Linked DNA regions of Cricetulus griseus. The protein of the gene in region 3 interacts with the protein of the main gene of each other region in a pairwise test. Links are inferred from orthologs where the notes say so. Each region holds a gene or a part of one and is shown on either strand. Other genes may lie near its edges.

Region 1 (4,287 bases), on a different chromosome or scaffold from region 3:
GCAGCTCACAACTGTCTATAACTCCAATTCCAGGGGATCTGAACCTTCACACCAATGCATTTAAAATAAAGTTAAATAATTAAAAAAATAGTTAAGCACCCTGACTGCTCTTCCAGCACCCATATGGCAGCTCACAACTGTCAGCAACTCCAGTTCCAGGAGACCCAACACTCTCACACGGACGTGTATGCAGGCAGAAGACCAATGTACATAAAATAAAAACAAATCATTTTTAAAAACCAGGTGGTAGTGTCACACACCTTTAACCCAAGCACTAGAGACAGGTGAATCGCTGAGAGTTTGAGACCAGCCTGGTCTACAGAGCGAGTACCAAGGGCTATGTAGAAAGACCCTGTCTGGAAAAAGTAAATAAATAAAACAGATGTTTTAAATGAAAATAAAAAAGAGGGTTTGGAGAGATGACTCAGTAGTTAAGAGTGTGCGTGCTGCTTTTCCAGAGGACTAGAGTTCAGTTCCCAGCCCATGTATTTTGAACAGCTCACAATTGGTGGTAACTTCAGTTCCAGGGGGGGGATGTAATACCCTCTTCTGGGCCTCCTCAGGCACCGTCACCCATGTGGCACACACACATAAACCATTTATTTTTAATTCTTTTTGGTTTTTGGAGACAAGGTTTCTGTGTAGCTTTTGGAGGCTGTCCTGGCACTTGCTCTGTAGACCAGGCTGGCCTCGAACTCACAGAGATCCTCCTGCCTCTGCCTCCCGAGTGCTGGGATTAAAGGCTTGAGTCACCAATGCCCGGCAGAAGCCATTTTTTAGAAAAGATATTTTAAAAGTTATGTGTATCTGTGTAAGTACACGTGAGTATGTTTGATTGACTAGAGCTGGATATATACATATATAATATTTTTAAAAATTTATTTATTATACAGTGTTCTGCCTTCATGTATGCTATATGCCAAAAGAGGGCACCAAATCACATTTGTAGATGGTTGTGAGCCACCATGTGGGTTGCTGGGAATTGAACTCAGGACACCTGGAAGTGGAAGAGCAGCCGGTTCTCACACATCTGAGCCATCTCTCCAGCCCCTATAATTTTTGTTTTGTTTTGTTTTCTAAGGAAAGAGAAAGTTAATGAACTCCACCCCAGACCAGCCCAATCAGAATCAGAATATCTGAGGCTGCGGCCAATGTTTTTATTATTATTATTAATTATTTATTATTATTATTATTATTATTATTATTATTATTATTATTATTATTATTATTATTATTATTATTATGCCGTCTGGAGTCAGGATGATAGCTCCGCACCCTCCACGGAATCCCGCAGCTGCCATGCCAACTCCCGGTAAAAACGCCCCATCCTAAGAGCCCACGCTGCACGCTCTGAAACTACAGTTCCCACAATGCCTAGAGGCCCACGCGGCGCTCTTGGCATACTTCTCCCGAGGTGTCTTGCGAGCCCGACCGACCTCCTGACGCCGCAATGACTACAACTCCCAGAATGCTCGGAGACGCAACTACCGCCCCCTAGAGTGCCAAGCGGCGCCATGTCCTGAGCGTCCGGGCTCGGGCGGGGGCCGGCTGGGTGCGGCGGGGCTCGAGGCTGTCCGCGGCGATCCCACACACCGCAGCGTAGACATGGCGGCCCAGAAGGACCAGCAGAAGGATACGGAGGTGGAGGGGCTGAGCGCCACGTGAGCGAGCAGGGTGTAACCCCCCATACTCCCGAGCGTGGGGTCCCAGGCGTCCCGGCCCCCGGGCTTTGCAGAGGAGATGTCCCCCGGGGGCCGCGATGTGCTGGGATCTGGGGTCCGGGCCCTGGGACCGCTTGCGGCTGACCTGCCCCCGCCCCGCCCCGCCCTCCAGGACCCTGCTGCCCAAGCTGATTCCCTCCGGCGCCGGCCGAGAGTGGCTGGAGCGGCGCCGCGCGACCATCCGGCCCTGGGGCGCTTTCGTGGATCAGCAGCGTTTCTCGCGACCCCGCAACCTGGGCGAGCTTTGCCAGCGCCTGGTACGCAACGTGGAGTATTACCAAAGCAACTACGTGTTCGTGTTTCTGGGCCTCATCCTTTACTGCGTGTGAGTGCCTCGGCAGCCCCGCCCTCCTGCGCCAGGCCCCGCCCCCTGTTGCCAGGCCCCGCCCCCCGCCGGTTAGCTAGGCCCAGGGCCTTGTCACCCGAGCACCCAGGAGTCGGTCTGTATTCCTGAATCCACCCGAGCCGGGATGCAGTCTAGCCACCCCATGTGATGCCCAAGGCTAGAGGGAGCCGGCTCACACAGCCTCAGACGCCTGACTCCTGTCTCCCACACTCTTCCAGGGTGACATCCCCCATGCTGCTGGTGGCTCTGGCTGTCTTCTTTGGCGCCTGTTACATTCTCTATCTGCGCACGTTGCAGTCCAAGCTTGTGCTCTTTGGTGAGAAACCCCCCGCCCAAACGGATCCCCAGGTCCCACAGAACTGCAGACCTCCGAATATTTGGGAATCAAGTCGGTCCCACCGAGAGGTGCACTAGAGTCATTAAACTTAGTCCTTAAGGTCGCAGGTGAATACCCTCCAGTCTCAGCTCCCCAAAACCCAGGGAGAGCCCTAAAACCCCGGCTCCTGTGTCTCCTGTAAAATGAATCAGTCCTTCCCAATCCTCCCCGGGGAGAGCATCCGCTGCAGGTACCCACACTGGACACCAGGTGGCGACCGTGTGCAGGCCTAGGTCTGTCTGCCTTCCCATGCCTTCTGTCCCAGGGCTGAACTGGTAAGATACTAGATATTTCCAGAAGGGGAAACGGAGACCTGTCCGCCCACTGGGAAGAGAAGTGTCAGGGAAGACCCACTGAGAGGAAATCCCAGGTTTGCCAAGGAGACCTGTGACAGTCTTTCAGGTCCCAGACAGGTTACCAGAGGAAGATGGACTAGGGCCGAGCGAGAAGAGCCTGAAGCACAAGAGAACTTGGCCTTGGCAGATAGTAGTCACTAGGGCATACACAATTTCCAGACATAGGAGAGCCTGAAAAAAATTGTTTTGAGATAGGGTCTTCTTACGTAGCCTCGGCCTGCCAGGAGCTCACTCTGTAGACCAGACTGGCCTCCAACTCACAGATTTCCCCTGCCTCTGCCTCCTGAGTGCTGGGATTAAAGGAGTATGCAACCATGCCCTAGCCTTACAAAATTTGTTAAGCACCCAGAAGGCAGGCCCTCTGGGAAAGCAGCAAGTGCTCCTAACTGCTGGGCCGTCTCTCCAGTCCCCACAAACCAGATTCTTGTGAAACACTTCAAAGACAGACAGACGTTCTGGCTCATGCCTGTAATCCCAGCATTTGGGAGGCTGAAACAGGATGATTGCTGTAAATTCAAAACAAGCCTGGGCTTCAGAGTCTTTTAAAAAATCAAAATGAGCCAGGCATTGGTGGCGCACTCTTTTAATCCCAGCACTCGGGAGGCAGAGGCAGGCGATCTCTGTGAGTTCGAGACCAGCCTGGTCTACAGAGCGAGTGCCAGGATAGGCTCCAAAGCCACAGAGAAACCCTGTCTCGAAAAACAAACAAACAAACAAACAAAAATCAAAATGAGAGCTGGGCATGGTGGCACACACCTTTAATCCCAGCATTCGGGGTGAGGCTGGTGGATCTCTGTGAGTTCAAGGTCATCCTGGTCTACAAATCGAGTTCCAGAACAGCCAGTGCTATACAGAGAAACCCTGTCTCAAGTTTTTAAAAAACAAAAAATCAAAATAATGGTTTGGAGAGATGGCTCAGTGGTTAAAATTGAATTCTGTTCTTGAAAGGACCCAGGTTTTGTTCTCAGAACCCAATCCCCATGTCAGGTGACTGTCACAAGGCCACCTGTCACTCCAGCTTCTGGCCTCCATGGGCACCTGAACTCTTGTGCACATATGGCCACACAGGGTACATACACGTAATTCAAAGTAATAAATAAAATTATATAAGTTAAAAATAAGAAGACAAAAACCCTTAGGTCATGGACTGGAGAGATGGCTCCGGGGTTAAGAGCACTGACTGTTCTTCCAGAGGTCCTGAGTTCAATTCCCAGCAACCACATGTTGGCTCACAACCATCTGTAATGGGATCTGATGCCCTTTTCTGGCACGCACTGTATACATGATAAATAAATAAATCTTTAAAAAAAAAAAAAAACCCTCTTAGGTCAGACCTGGCAATGGGGCCACAAGGTTGAGAGTCCTGGTATCCAGGCTGGGACATGAGGCTAGCCTGGTCTGAGAGACAAGTGGCTTGGGAGGTCCTGGGGAGGGGGGGATAGAGAGCAGAGCTGGGGCTGAGGAAGGTGGTTTCATTCTGGTTATGTT
Region 2 (3,937 bases), on a different chromosome or scaffold from region 3:
CTAGGTATCCCTAGATGTCCTATTACCGGTTTTGCAGCCTTCTGGTTTCAAATTCAGGGCAATCCTCTGGCCTCATCCTATGAAACGCTGCTATTCCAGGCTTGTGCTGCCATGCCAGGGTTAGCTATTGTTTTTTCCACTGGATCTACTTGTGTGCTGATGTGAGTCATTTAACTTATCTTCAGATGACCTTTGAGAAATGCCCCTTCCTTTGTCCCACTTACAGACATTAACACTGAAACCAAGACTACAATGGGAACGCACGAGGTAAACTGAGGCAAGGGACTCATACATAGCATCCTTTTTTTTTTTTTTTTTTTTTTTTTTTTGGTCTGCTGAGTGTTAAAAGACAGTGTCAAAGAGTACATGTGTGAGGGCTAAATGAAAAGGGTCTGTGTGGAAACGTGATGCGGCTGACATCGTTTGTAGACAGAGCAATGATACAGATCTCGGGATTGGAAAAGTAGCTGCCGTCCTAAAAGCTACAGTTTACAGAGCGCTTCCTGGGCACTGAACTTTTCTGTCCCTCACTGGCGGATATCCTCATAGGGATTTCCCGGAACAGAGTAGGAAACCTCAAAGCAGCCCTCCGGGGACCTACGGCCAGCCATCGACTCCCAAGTGCCACACGACCCTGGTGACATCTTTGAAAATTCCATTACAGTCCCCTTTAAAACAGGCATCCCGCTTTCCAGGTGTGCCTGGCGACTGGCGTTTGCTTTCTGAGTCACAGTCTCTGTCTTCCTGCCCAACTGGGGACAGAGGGTGAGGCCCGGGTGAGAGTGGGGTGGGATGGAGAGGTGGGACCCGCGGGACATTTAGCGCAGGGGCAGCAGGTGATCGCGAGAGCCTGGGCGAGCTGGTGGCCCTGTAGCCGGAGCGCACCGCGCACCTGTACGGGTGACCCCTGCGGGCGCCGGGGCGGGGACGTGCTCACCTGCGCCCACGTGACGGGGCGGGGCTCTGTGTAGAGGGCCCTTGGCCACGCCCTCTCGGCGAGCGGCACGCCCGGACCCCGCGGACCGGATCGGCGGCGGCGGCGCGCGGCGGCGCGGCGGCGGCGGCAAGCCCGGGAGGGAGGCGGAGGCGGACGCGGGAGGCGGTGGCGGCTGTGCGCGGAGACGTAGCAGCGGCAGCATGTCGGCCGGCGGAGCGGCAGTCCCGCCGCCCCCGAACCCCGCTGTGTCCTTCCCGGCGCCCCGGGTCACCCTGCCCGTGGGCCCCGACATCCTGCGGACCTACTCGGGAGCTTTCGTCTGCCTGGAGATTGTGAGTAGGGTAGCAGCGTAGGCGACGATCGAGCCCCGGGGAGCAGGGACAGGCAAGGCAGCATCCTTGCCCCCAGCCCGGTCTGGTCCCCCCGGCGATCACCTTCTCCTGGAAGTGGCCTTTTCCTGCCCACGGTCTCGGGGTCCCCTCCACTCTGTGTCCGGGCCTTTTTGCTTGGCACCTGTTACGCGGCCACCTGCTCGCCGGCCTGGAATGGAAATGTCCCCTAGAGTGCGAGCAGGCAAAGGGCCCAAGATTAGGGACTTGGGCAGGAGAGGGGTGTTAGCGCTTGGAGGAGTCGCGGGGACTGGGCTTTGGACAGGGTCTACGCTTGCCTGGTGGAGGAACTGGCGCCCTCGGCCCCTCCTGTCGCTAACCTGCCATTTTGTTGGGTGGTGCAAAGGTGTACCGATGACTGGGTGGCCAGGAAGCTGGTAGGATGTGGAAAGCCGGGGCGGAAGGCGCCAGGGAAAAGGAGGAGCAGGAGGAGGCTGAAGCCTGGGTATGGTTTTCACCCCACTCACCCTTGCCATCGTCAGTGCCCTTTGGATTGGGGAAGAACGGGGCAGGGAGGACGGTGAGATTGTAGGTGCCGTTGGCAGTGTGTAATCAAGAGGCCGTGAGAACCAACCGTGGGGAAAAGTGGAAGACAGACGTGGGGCTGTCAGCTCCAACTCTCGCCTTTGCCCCTTGTCCATTTTCAGTTTACCTGAGAATTCCAAACCTCCTCGGAGCACCTCGCTTGTACCTAGGAAAGTTGAAGTCACAGGCCCGCCCTGCAACCTTGTGGAACTAGACACTTGAACTTGGGCAAGGAATGCTGTACAGTTGGGAGCTTTCGAAGCTCCTTGTGGACAAGGGGGATGTGTAAATATAAATTGGGCAACTGGGGTTGCATCATGCCCGGAGAATGTCAAATAGAAAGAAATGTTAGCAAGGCAGGGCCTTTCCTGCAGGCGGGTTTTGTTTGCTCCCTTTAGGGTTTTCATGTCACTCATCCTCCTGTGAGTTTGCATAACCTGGATCTGGGTCACTCTGGCTTCCCTTTTGTGCTGTGGAGCTGAAAACCGTGGGAGCCTTGGTTTTCTGCCCCACTATGCTTTGGTAGCCAAGCCACCTTAGGTTTAGCTCCGATTTGAATCGGAAAGCAGAGGCGGTGGCAGCTGGGATCAGACTGACTGTGAGTCTAGAAGACCCTGGTGTGGGTTCGGGTTTAAGCCCAGTACAGCGGCATAGGAATGAGACAGTGATGCTATATATATTAGTCTTGAGATAGGTGTGGTCTACCACTGAGCTCCTAACTTGCCAGCCCCTCGGTGTTGGCCCAAGCTATCCTTCCCTGTTACATATTTACCATATATTTGCCTAAGTTTAATACAAAGTTGATCTTGCAAAACCAAGCCTTTTAGCTCAGGCTGAAAACATTAACACCAAAATTTATCATTTTCAGGGGCCAGGACAAAGGATCAATGAGTAAAGGACTTGTTGCAAAATTGTGAGGACCTGTGTTCAAATCCCAAGAACGCTTGAAAAGCTGCCCTCCGTGGTAGAGTTGCTGCCTAACCTTTGGCTAGAACTTAGCTTCATCCTCAGCAGTAATATACATTGCATCTCAAATTTGATATGTTGGTTATACATTTCTAATAGTTATTCAAATATATTTATACAATTAACTTGTATGTATACATATACATGGCATATATGTATATATATACATATATATATGTATACACACATGTGTATATGGAAACATATGCATAGAAGTGTTGCCCACATGTTATCAAAACAAATGCTACTCAGGACCCACCTGACGGTGTGGCACATTTATGGAACACTAGTTCTGAAGGTGACTTATTGAACTCCTTCTAGCTCCATATCTCCTTTTCCTATCTACCACAGTAGTTAGTTCTTAACTCTGGCTGTATTTAATAACTTGGCAGCTTTGAAAAGTACTGTTGCCAGCCTGGACTAATTAAACCAGTGTCTCTAAGGGAGCACCCAGAGTCAGCTAATTTTTTTTAAAGTTCCCTGGAGATCCCAATACACAGAATAACTGCAACTGACTGATAGTGCCTTTGGACCAGGATCTGCAGAAAGGAGAACGTTTTTTTGTTCATTAGGATGGATAGGAGGATTAGATTCTGGAAGTGTGGGGAAGTATCCCACATACTTCCTGCTTTCTTAGTCTTCTTAGCCGCTCCTCTGGCAACTTACCTAACCCTGACACGGGTTAGACTCTTATCAAAGTAGAGGAGTCTCTTCCCAAAGCCATTTGGACTTGCACGTGTGTGTGTGTGTGTGTGTGTGTGTGTGTGTGTGTGTGTGTGTGTGTGTGTATCCTCGTGCCTGTGTGTTTAAGTGTATATGGAGGCCAGAGAACAACATTGAGTGTCATTCCTCAGGAACTGTCCACCTTTTCTTTTTTAATATTTTGCTTATTTATTGAGGGAACAGAGGGCACACCCATTCCACAACGCTTGTGCGGAGGTCAGGGGAGAACTTGCAGGAATCAGTTCTCTACTTCCACCATGCGGGTTCCAGGGGTCAGATTCAGATTCTCAGACTTGACATTAGGCACTGTTCCCACTGAGTCATCTCACTATCCTTTGGACTCTTTTGGGCATAGGGATCAGGATGAGCAAGATCTCTTACTGGCCTGTAACTTGCC
Region 3 (3,500 bases):
GCCACAATGTGCACAGAGGCCTGTCCCAAGCCAAGACGCTGGCGCTGGCTCCATCAGGCCGAGGCATGCAGGGCCAGCAACAGTGAGCACGCCAAATGGGCTGTAGCCAGCAGGGTCCTAGGTCCCCAATAGCTACTCAGAGCTATGGCCAGGGAGGGTACATGTTGACTAGGCACTCTTAGCTGGGATAGGAAGACACTGTGTGTCCAACTAGACCTTCATCCAGAAAGTGACAGGGTAGGAGGCAGGGTTGCTTCTGAGAAGGACACAGACAGTCACAAACTACCCTGAATCTTGCTTCTACTATTATAGGTGAGGCCAATCCACCTAGAGGCTGGGCCAGGGACAGACATGACACCTGCACAGGCCAACCTAGCGCTGTGTCTGAGGTTCTGCTTCTAACTCCCAAAGCTTTGGAAGTCTCATAGCTCACAGCAGCCTAGACACAAGACAACTGCTCTGAGACTAGCCAGCATCAGGTTCCAACATGGAACAGAGCCCTCAGCAGACCAGGGTCTGCAGTAGAGCAGGGGATCCACTGAGGCTTCTTGCTGAGCAGGACACAAGAGGATCCCAAACCACGGCAAGACACAGTGTGGCCGCAGCACTGCAGGGGAGCGGGGGGTGGGGAGGGGGGAGAGGACAGACTAGGCAGGGTATCCATGCATCAGGAGAGGGGCCATGGGGCTACCTGCTCCTCCACTCAGCCTTCGGTCCTTCAAGTGTGCAACTAAGAGAGAAGACAGCCAGAGAGGGCAAGGGTAGGGGAGACACAGAACATGGTGAAGATTGAGCCAGGCCAAGGGCATCGAGATGGGCCAAGATGAGACAGACAAACGAGTGAGGGCCAGGGCTGAGCCTCAGAAAGCCCACTTTTGCAACCTATCCAAACAGCAGTTCATGGAAGCCACGCACCAGTCTCACCTCTCCCTCTCCTATAACCCAGGCTGTGGTGTACACATCCTAGACCCAGAGCCCTCACTGCTCTACCAGATCTCAATCTTGCACATGAAGGGAAGGAAGCCTGAACCATCTTCCAAAGCCCCTCCCCGACTCCTGGGATGCCTGGTAGATCCCTCATGAAGCCCAAGGACACACACTAGTGCTTACAACTGTTGTTCTTTCTTGTCCTCATAGCTGTCTGCCAAGCTCCAAGAGTGCATGGGGCCCAGCTTAGGGTTCTGGCTAGTCCTGTCTGCCTTTGCAGTTCTTTGCCATTTTCCCATGAGGTTGGCAGGGTGGAGGGTTATCCTATTTCTGTCCCAAGGAGGTCAAGCTCCAGAGGCTGAAGTCTTTGGTGGAGGGCACCAAATTGAGGGAGAGCAGTTCACCTCCCAGCAGGTGTATGCTGTTAAGAGGGGACCAGAGGTCCAGGAGGTATACAGGAGCCACCTGAATCATAAAGCTGTGTGTATGTATGTTTGTGTGTGTATGTATGTGTGTATGTTTGTGTGTATATGTTTATATGCATGTGTGTGCATGTGTGTGATGTATGTATGCTTGTGTGTATGTATGTGTATAATTGTATGTGTGCATGTGTGTGATTATATTGTGCATATGTGTATGTATGTGTGTGAATCATGTGTATGTGTGTATGTTTGTGGTTGTATGTATATGTGTAATTGTGTATGTATGTTTGTGTATGTATTATATGTATGTGTATGTGCATGTATCTGTGTATGTATGTTTGTGTATGTATCTGTGTATGCATGTTTGTGTGTGTGTGTATCTGTGTATGTGTGTGTGTGATTGCATAGTGTGTGTGTGATTGCATAGTGTGTGTGTGTGGTGTGTGTGTGTGCTCTGTATGCTGAGTCTCATCACTGTTACATGAGGAGATGTTTCAGGAAGGATGGGAACCAGAAAGCTGCTTTAGAGCCCTTGTTCCCAGCAGATTCTCAGGCTTACTTTCCACAGGTTTGGACAGGCTAACACCAAGATGGTCCCAATTCCCTTCTCTGGTCCCAGACTCCATGAGTCTAGGCACTAAGCCTCTACGATGACAAAGAGCCTTTTGAGGTACCCTAATCCCAATAGGGTGTGGGTGACTCATCTGAAACAGGCTTCCCTAATAGCACCAGGCCATGCTCCTGGTCTCTCAAGGCTGGAAGACGAGTCTTCTCCCAAAGTAGAGGCTGGCTGCGCCCAGGACTTACACCCTAAAATGTATGCAGAGTCTAGGGAGAGTAGGCCAGCTGTCAGGGGTCCAGGTGACAGAGTACACTCACCCACAGACTCCCCAACACACGGGCAATGTGCCCCGTTCCCTTGCCCAGGGTGGGTGGAGGTGTACTTACTGTAGCCCATGCCTTGCAGGAAGTATTTGAAGGCCTCAGTCAGTTTTCCTGGCTGCAAGAAGATGGACAGGAATGTGCTCTGATTGGCTGCCTAGGTCTAGTGGGGAGGATGCCATCCCCCCATCCCCAACAGGCTGGGTGATACAAAGGCAGAAGGTCCAGGGGTCTTACCTGTGTCACCTGAGGAAGGCCACCAGAATCTGCCATCTGAAAGGAAAAGGGCAGGGAGAACTGAGTCCCTCTCAACACCTGGACAGACCGTGCTGTTCAAACACCACCCTGTTCCCATGCTGTCCACCAGACCCCTTCCTGCAGCTGAGCCACCGGGCTGATGGGGTGGGGTGGGGCATCTCACCTTCAGGAAGGTTGTGGTGGTTGGGTCCAGTTTGGAGTTACACTCAACCTGGGGACAAGGAGACAGCTGCAGCAAGACCCCTGCTCCACTGCTTAGGCAGGTTCTGTGCCCAAAGCAGGAAGAGGGAGGGAGGGAGGGAGGGAGGGAGGAGGAGGAGGGAGGGAGGAGGGAGGGAGAGGGAGGGAGGGAGGGAGGGAGGGAGGGAGGGAGGGGAGGAAGGGAAAAGAGGACTATACAGGGGCCTGGGCTTCCATTCCCAGGCTTTCTCATGCTAGGACTTCCTAAGTCCCTGGAGGCCTGCTGGTCTAAGGGGCGTGAAATTCCACTCATAACCGCAGGTGGAGCAGCAATGGGGCAAGGCTTTGACCCAGAAGGCCAGGGTGACATTAGCAGGATGTACCAGAGATCTGGGCATTGTTAGGGTCAAGATGACACTGGGGCCCTGCCTGGGTCACGATAGCTAGTGCAGCCTACACCCTGCCCTTGCAGTCTTCCTCGTGAGCCCTTGAAAGTCTGATATCTTCTGAACACCCCTGGGCTGGCAACTGAGACTGCTTTACTGCTAGAGTGCCAACGGGAGCAGTTTCAAGCACTGCCCCACCCTGGGGGCCTGGGGGGCTCCAGGGTGAGTATTGATGTCTATGAGCCACTTATGGCTTAGATTTTGGAAGAAGTAGGCCTTGGGCTCTAAACTGAAAGTGTATGGAGACTGGGATAGGCTACACTGTGAGAGCGAGGAGGGAATGCCAGGCCACATGGCCCTAGTCTTAGCTCCATCCACTCACCAGGCCTCTTCCCCTGCACAATGAGGGGGTGGTGGTCAGACCCTGATGTGTGACCAGGTGGCA
Region 4 (4,188 bases), on a different chromosome or scaffold from region 3:
AAATGACTTAGTCTCTCCCTCTCTATTAATTTATGGCCCCCCCTTGTTTTTTTGGTTTTTCAAGACAGGGTTTCTCTGTGTAGCTTTGGAGCCTATCCTGGAACTAGCTCTGGAGACCAGGCTGGCCTTGAACTCACAGAGATCCGCCTGCCTCTGCCTCCGGAGTGCTGAGATTAAAGGCATGTGCCACCAACGCCCGACAATTTACCCCCCTTTTCCTTTAAGTTTATTTTGGAAGCTTAACCACTTCCACTTTGAGCCATAAAGAAGGGCTGACAGATTTGGTTTTTCGAGGCAGGGTTTCTCTGTATTGTTTTGGAGGCTGTCCTGGAACTCGCTCTGTAGACCAGGCTGGCCTCGAACTCACAGAGATCTGCCTGCCTTTGCCTCTGGAGTTTAAAGGCGTGAGCCACCACCACCCAGCTCCATGTAAAACTTGTATCCGTTTCTAGGACCCTGAAAATCTGTAGCCTTGCACCTGGCTAGAGCCAGAGAATTGCTGATTGTGTGTGTGTAGAAACGGGAGGGTGGCAGGACAGGATAGCAGAACAATAAAGAACACATGAAGAACATGTGTGTCAGGTGGTGTGTAACATCTTTTACCCCTCCTTCGTTCCTGAGAAGCATTTCACCTTTGGAACCTTGGGTAGGGGCTGGAGCAGATCTCCTAGACCTTATAACTTCTGACACTCTTCCTGGGTCAGGACAGCCCTGGCCCCATCCCCATGTCCACAACTTCCACTACCTCCTAGTGTCTGTCTCCTCGTTTTACATTTGTATATTCTCTCTCCCTTCTGTGTCTCTCCTCTGTCTTTCCTTTCTCTCTGTGTGTCTGTATGTATGCGCACCACGGCATATATGGAGGTCAAAGGACAGCTACTGGGGCTGGAGAGATGGCTCAGTGGTTAAGAGCAAAGGCCGCTCTTGCAGAGGATCAGGGTTCAATTCCCAGCATCTACATGGCAGCTCACAACTACCTAAGACAAATTCCAAGTAAATCCTGTGCCCTCTTCGGACCCCCGAGGGCTCCTGCGTGCCTGTGGTGCATCATGGGTAAGCAAGCAGGAGAGACACTAATGACACACGTTAGTCAGAAGTAACAAGTAAGTCTTTTAAAAAGAAACCATGGAGTCAGTTTTCTCCTTCCACTATGTGGATGGTGGCGAGAGCTCAGCCAGACTGAGCAACCATCTTTTTTTTTTTTTTAAAGATCTTATTTATTATGTATACAACATTCTGCTTCCATATGTATCTGCACACCAGAAGAGGGCACCAGATCTCATAAGGGATAGTTGTGAACCACCATGTGGTTGCTGGGAATTGAACTCAGGACCTCTGGAAGAACAGTCAGTGCTCTTAACCTCTGAGCCATCTCTCCAGCCCCTGAGCAACCATCTTTACCCTCTGAGCCATCTCACTGTCTTCTGAGATAGGGTCTCACACAGCCAAAAATGACCTTGAAATCCTGATCCTCCTGCCACCAATGACAGGTGTGCGTTTTCACTATCGCTTTAAGAGCACTGGGATGGAACCCAGGACTGCCTGCTTGCTGAACAAGTGCTCCACCCACTGAGCCTGAGCCCCTGTCCACCTCCCTCTTGGTCCAACATCACCAAATCTATTGCCCTGCTGGCCTCCAGCAGTCAACCTGCTCCTCACTTAGCTACAACTAACAACCAAGAAAGAGCTCATGTGTTCTCTTCCACCCCAGGGCCTTTGCAAGTGCTGTTCTGCCAGCCCAAACCAGCTCAAGTCCCCTCTCCTTACACCTCCAGCTTGGTCTGATGAGCCACACTCCTGGCTAACCTGGCTTGACCTCTCTGTCCATCTACCCCATCCATAGCCTCTCATCTCTTGTTCCTTCTCTTTACCCCATCTATTTGACTTCCTTCTTGTCAAGATTTGGCCTCTGAAAGGCACTTGGTCCCTGTGGTGGTTTGAATGAGACTGGTCCCACAGGCTCTTATATTTGAATGCTCAGTCCCCAGTTGGTTTGGGGAAGTGTGGCCTTGTTGGAGAAGGTGTGTCACTGAGAGGTTCTCTCTGCCTCGTCCTTGTGGGTGAGGGTGAAAGTTCTCAGCCACTGCCCCAGTGTGCCAGTCTGCCTGTCTGCTGCCATACTCCTCGACATGGTTGGTGGTCATGGAATCACCCTCTGACGCTGTAAGCTCCAATAAACTCTTCTTTCTGTAGGTTGCCTTGGTCATGGCGTTTTTGTGTCAGCAATAGGACAGTTACTAAGACAGTTCCTGACACACAAAGTGAGCACCTCTTCAGTGTATCTTGTAAGCCTCTATGGCTTGCACACTCACAAATCCATACCATTCTTTGACTACTGTTTAGGGGCTGTTCCCTGTGAGGACTGATCTAATGTGGATGTTTCCAAATAACACAAAGCACCATGGGCTCCACTCCTGATTCGGCTGCACAGTCACTGATTCAGGTTCTCACCTTGGGCATTGTTTTCTAGTCTGATAAAATGGACCGATTCTCTTCCCTACGTCGTATGGCTTGGAGCAGGGAAGGACCAGTGTGTGAGAACCTCTTTCCTTGAGAAGCAGGGCAGGGGCCGTCAGTATGTGGCCCCCCAAGTGCCATGTTGTGGTAGGTGTCATGCTCATACATGACGTCCCCAAGCAGGCCCCACTTGACACAATAAGAATGACTGAAGGTGGCTGGTTGGCCTTAGGAGATGGCAGCCATGGGCTCACTCACCTTGGGCTCTTTCTTCAGGCGCAGACGGTGGCCCCAGTGGGGGGTCAGGGACTGCTGAGCCACACCCCGGTGCCGTAGATGGAAATAGTGGTCGTCGGGAAAGATCTGGGAATGTGATGGACAGGGGCATCGCTGGGACCTGGCTCCTTTGATACAGTCCCAAGGATGGAGTCCAGTTTCTGCGGCATTATATACCTCAACCAGGTGCCCAGTTGAGGGTCGCAGAATCCCAAATTGAATATGGAGGGGGCACGTAGACACGTTCGTTCTTCATATCCGGGGAGGTCTTGGGGACCCCCTCCCATCTGTCCGGGTCTGAGGTCGTCCAGGTCCCCACCCATGGCCCATCCATCCAGGTCCCACCCACCCACCTGTCCCAGGTTGATGAAGCCAAATTTACGTGCCAGGCGCTCAGCCTCCTGGTAACCTTTGGTCACCCGCACGGCCCAGCTGCTGACATAGATGGGGGCCCGGGGTGAGGCCCACCCCACAGCCAGGAGGGCCAAAGCCAAAGCCAGACCCAGCCACAGCGCAGTCGGGGAGGGCCGCATAGCGGGGGGCGGGGCGGGGGGCGGGGCCTCAGGAAGCCACCCCATCCCGGACACCATAGCAACCCCGAAGCTTTCAACTCCCAAGGGGCCTTGCGGTTCCCTCGTCCCCCATCCATGAGGGGTGGGACTATCCCACATGAAGAGACATCCACACGGACCTAAGCCTTCGGGAGCCTCAGTTTCTCCACTTGTACAAGTGCAACACCTTCTGGTCCTTAGGAGCAGGTTCAGGATCACAGGGATACCCCCAACCATTTATTTGGTCCCGCCCACTTTCTTCCACGCCCCTCCTTAGAGAATCAGCCCTGCCTCTCCACATCTTCCAACCAGCATCGTTTGCTTCCAGTGTAGTCCCGCCTCCTTTATGATCAACTCCGCCTTCTCTAGTCTGTCCAATCAGCGCTGGTCTTAACCTGGCCCCACCCACCTGTTTCTCAGCTAGTCCCACCCACCCTCATCGCTCTCCGTCAATAATCTACGGCTTGTCCAATCAGTACCGAGTCACTTCCTCGTGACCAATCAACGCACCGGCAGCCTGGCGCCCCGCCCCCTCCAGCCTCCCTGTGGCCCGGCGGGCCTTAGCCCTGGCCAGAGGGCGATGCGGCGGGGGAGACGGGGCAGGCCCCACCTCCTTTGTCCGCCTTGCCCTCCCATTGGCCAGAGCCAGGGGTCGGGGGCGGAGCCAGGGCCGGGGGCCGAAAGCAGCGTGTCGGGGGCGGGGCCTGGCCGCGCGCGGGAGGCGAAGTCTGTGCGCCGTAGGCTGGGCCGGTGCGCGAGGCTGCGGGTGTGCTTGAGTGGCCTGCCGCGGGCCCACCGCCATGGACGGTCTACGCCAGCGCTTCGAGCGTTTCCTAGAGCAGAAGAACGTAGCCACCGAAGCGCTCGGGGCTCTCGAAGCCAGGACCGGTGTAGAGAAGCGGTA

The links.
Region 1: the proteins of Ndrg4 (region 3) and Rabac1 interact in binary tests that used the Homo sapiens proteins (3 or more experiments, as listed by UniProt). The two-hybrid records come from large-scale screens. The link is inferred for Cricetulus griseus from reciprocal best matches to the Homo sapiens genes NDRG4 and RABAC1.
Region 2: the proteins of Ndrg4 (region 3) and Mal2 interact in binary tests that used the Homo sapiens proteins (3 or more experiments, as listed by UniProt). The two-hybrid records come from large-scale screens. The link is inferred for Cricetulus griseus from reciprocal best matches to the Homo sapiens genes NDRG4 and MAL2.
Region 4: the proteins of Ndrg4 (region 3) and Reep6 interact in binary tests that used the Homo sapiens proteins (3 or more experiments, as listed by UniProt). The two-hybrid records come from large-scale screens. The link is inferred for Cricetulus griseus from reciprocal best matches to the Homo sapiens genes NDRG4 and REEP6.

The regions. Positions count from the first base shown.
Region 1 is NC_048602.1:9,714,295-9,718,581, reverse strand, and holds the start of Rabac1 (prenylated Rab acceptor protein 1), read left to right. Parts: upstream 1-1,487; 5' UTR 1,488-1,605; coding exon 1,606-1,661; intron 1,662-1,833; coding exon 1,834-2,046; intron 2,047-2,285; coding exon 2,286-2,383; intron 2,384-4,287. UniProt on the Homo sapiens protein: General Rab protein regulator required for vesicle formation from the Golgi complex. May control vesicle docking and fusion by mediating the action of Rab GTPases to the SNARE complexes.
Region 2 is NC_048603.1:797,779-801,715, reverse strand, and holds the start of Mal2 (protein MAL2), read left to right. Parts: upstream 1-1,137; coding exon 1,138-1,269; intron 1,270-3,937. UniProt on the Homo sapiens protein: Member of the machinery of polarized transport. Required for the indirect transcytotic route at the step of the egress of the transcytosing cargo from perinuclear endosomes in order for it to travel to the apical surface via a raft-dependent pathway.
Region 3 is NC_048596.1:171,897,208-171,900,707, reverse strand, and holds part of Ndrg4 (protein NDRG4), read right to left. Parts: intron 2,701-3,500; coding exon 2,653-2,700; intron 2,505-2,652; coding exon 2,469-2,504; intron 2,350-2,468; coding exon 2,298-2,349; intron 1-2,297. UniProt on the Homo sapiens protein: Contributes to the maintenance of intracerebral BDNF levels within the normal range, which is necessary for the preservation of spatial learning and the resistance to neuronal cell death caused by ischemic stress.
Region 4 is NC_048598.1:101,122,398-101,126,585, forward strand, and holds the start of Reep6 (receptor expression-enhancing protein 6), read left to right. Parts: upstream 1-1,388; 5' UTR 1,389-2,715; coding exon of another isoform or gene 2,716-2,820; 5' UTR 2,821-3,086; coding exon of another isoform or gene 3,087-3,266; 5' UTR 3,267-4,084; coding exon 4,085-4,188. Other genes in the region: Pcsk4 (proprotein convertase subtilisin/kexin type 4), read right to left, coding at 2,716-2,820, 3,087-3,266. UniProt on the Homo sapiens protein: Required for correct function and survival of retinal photoreceptors. Required for retinal development.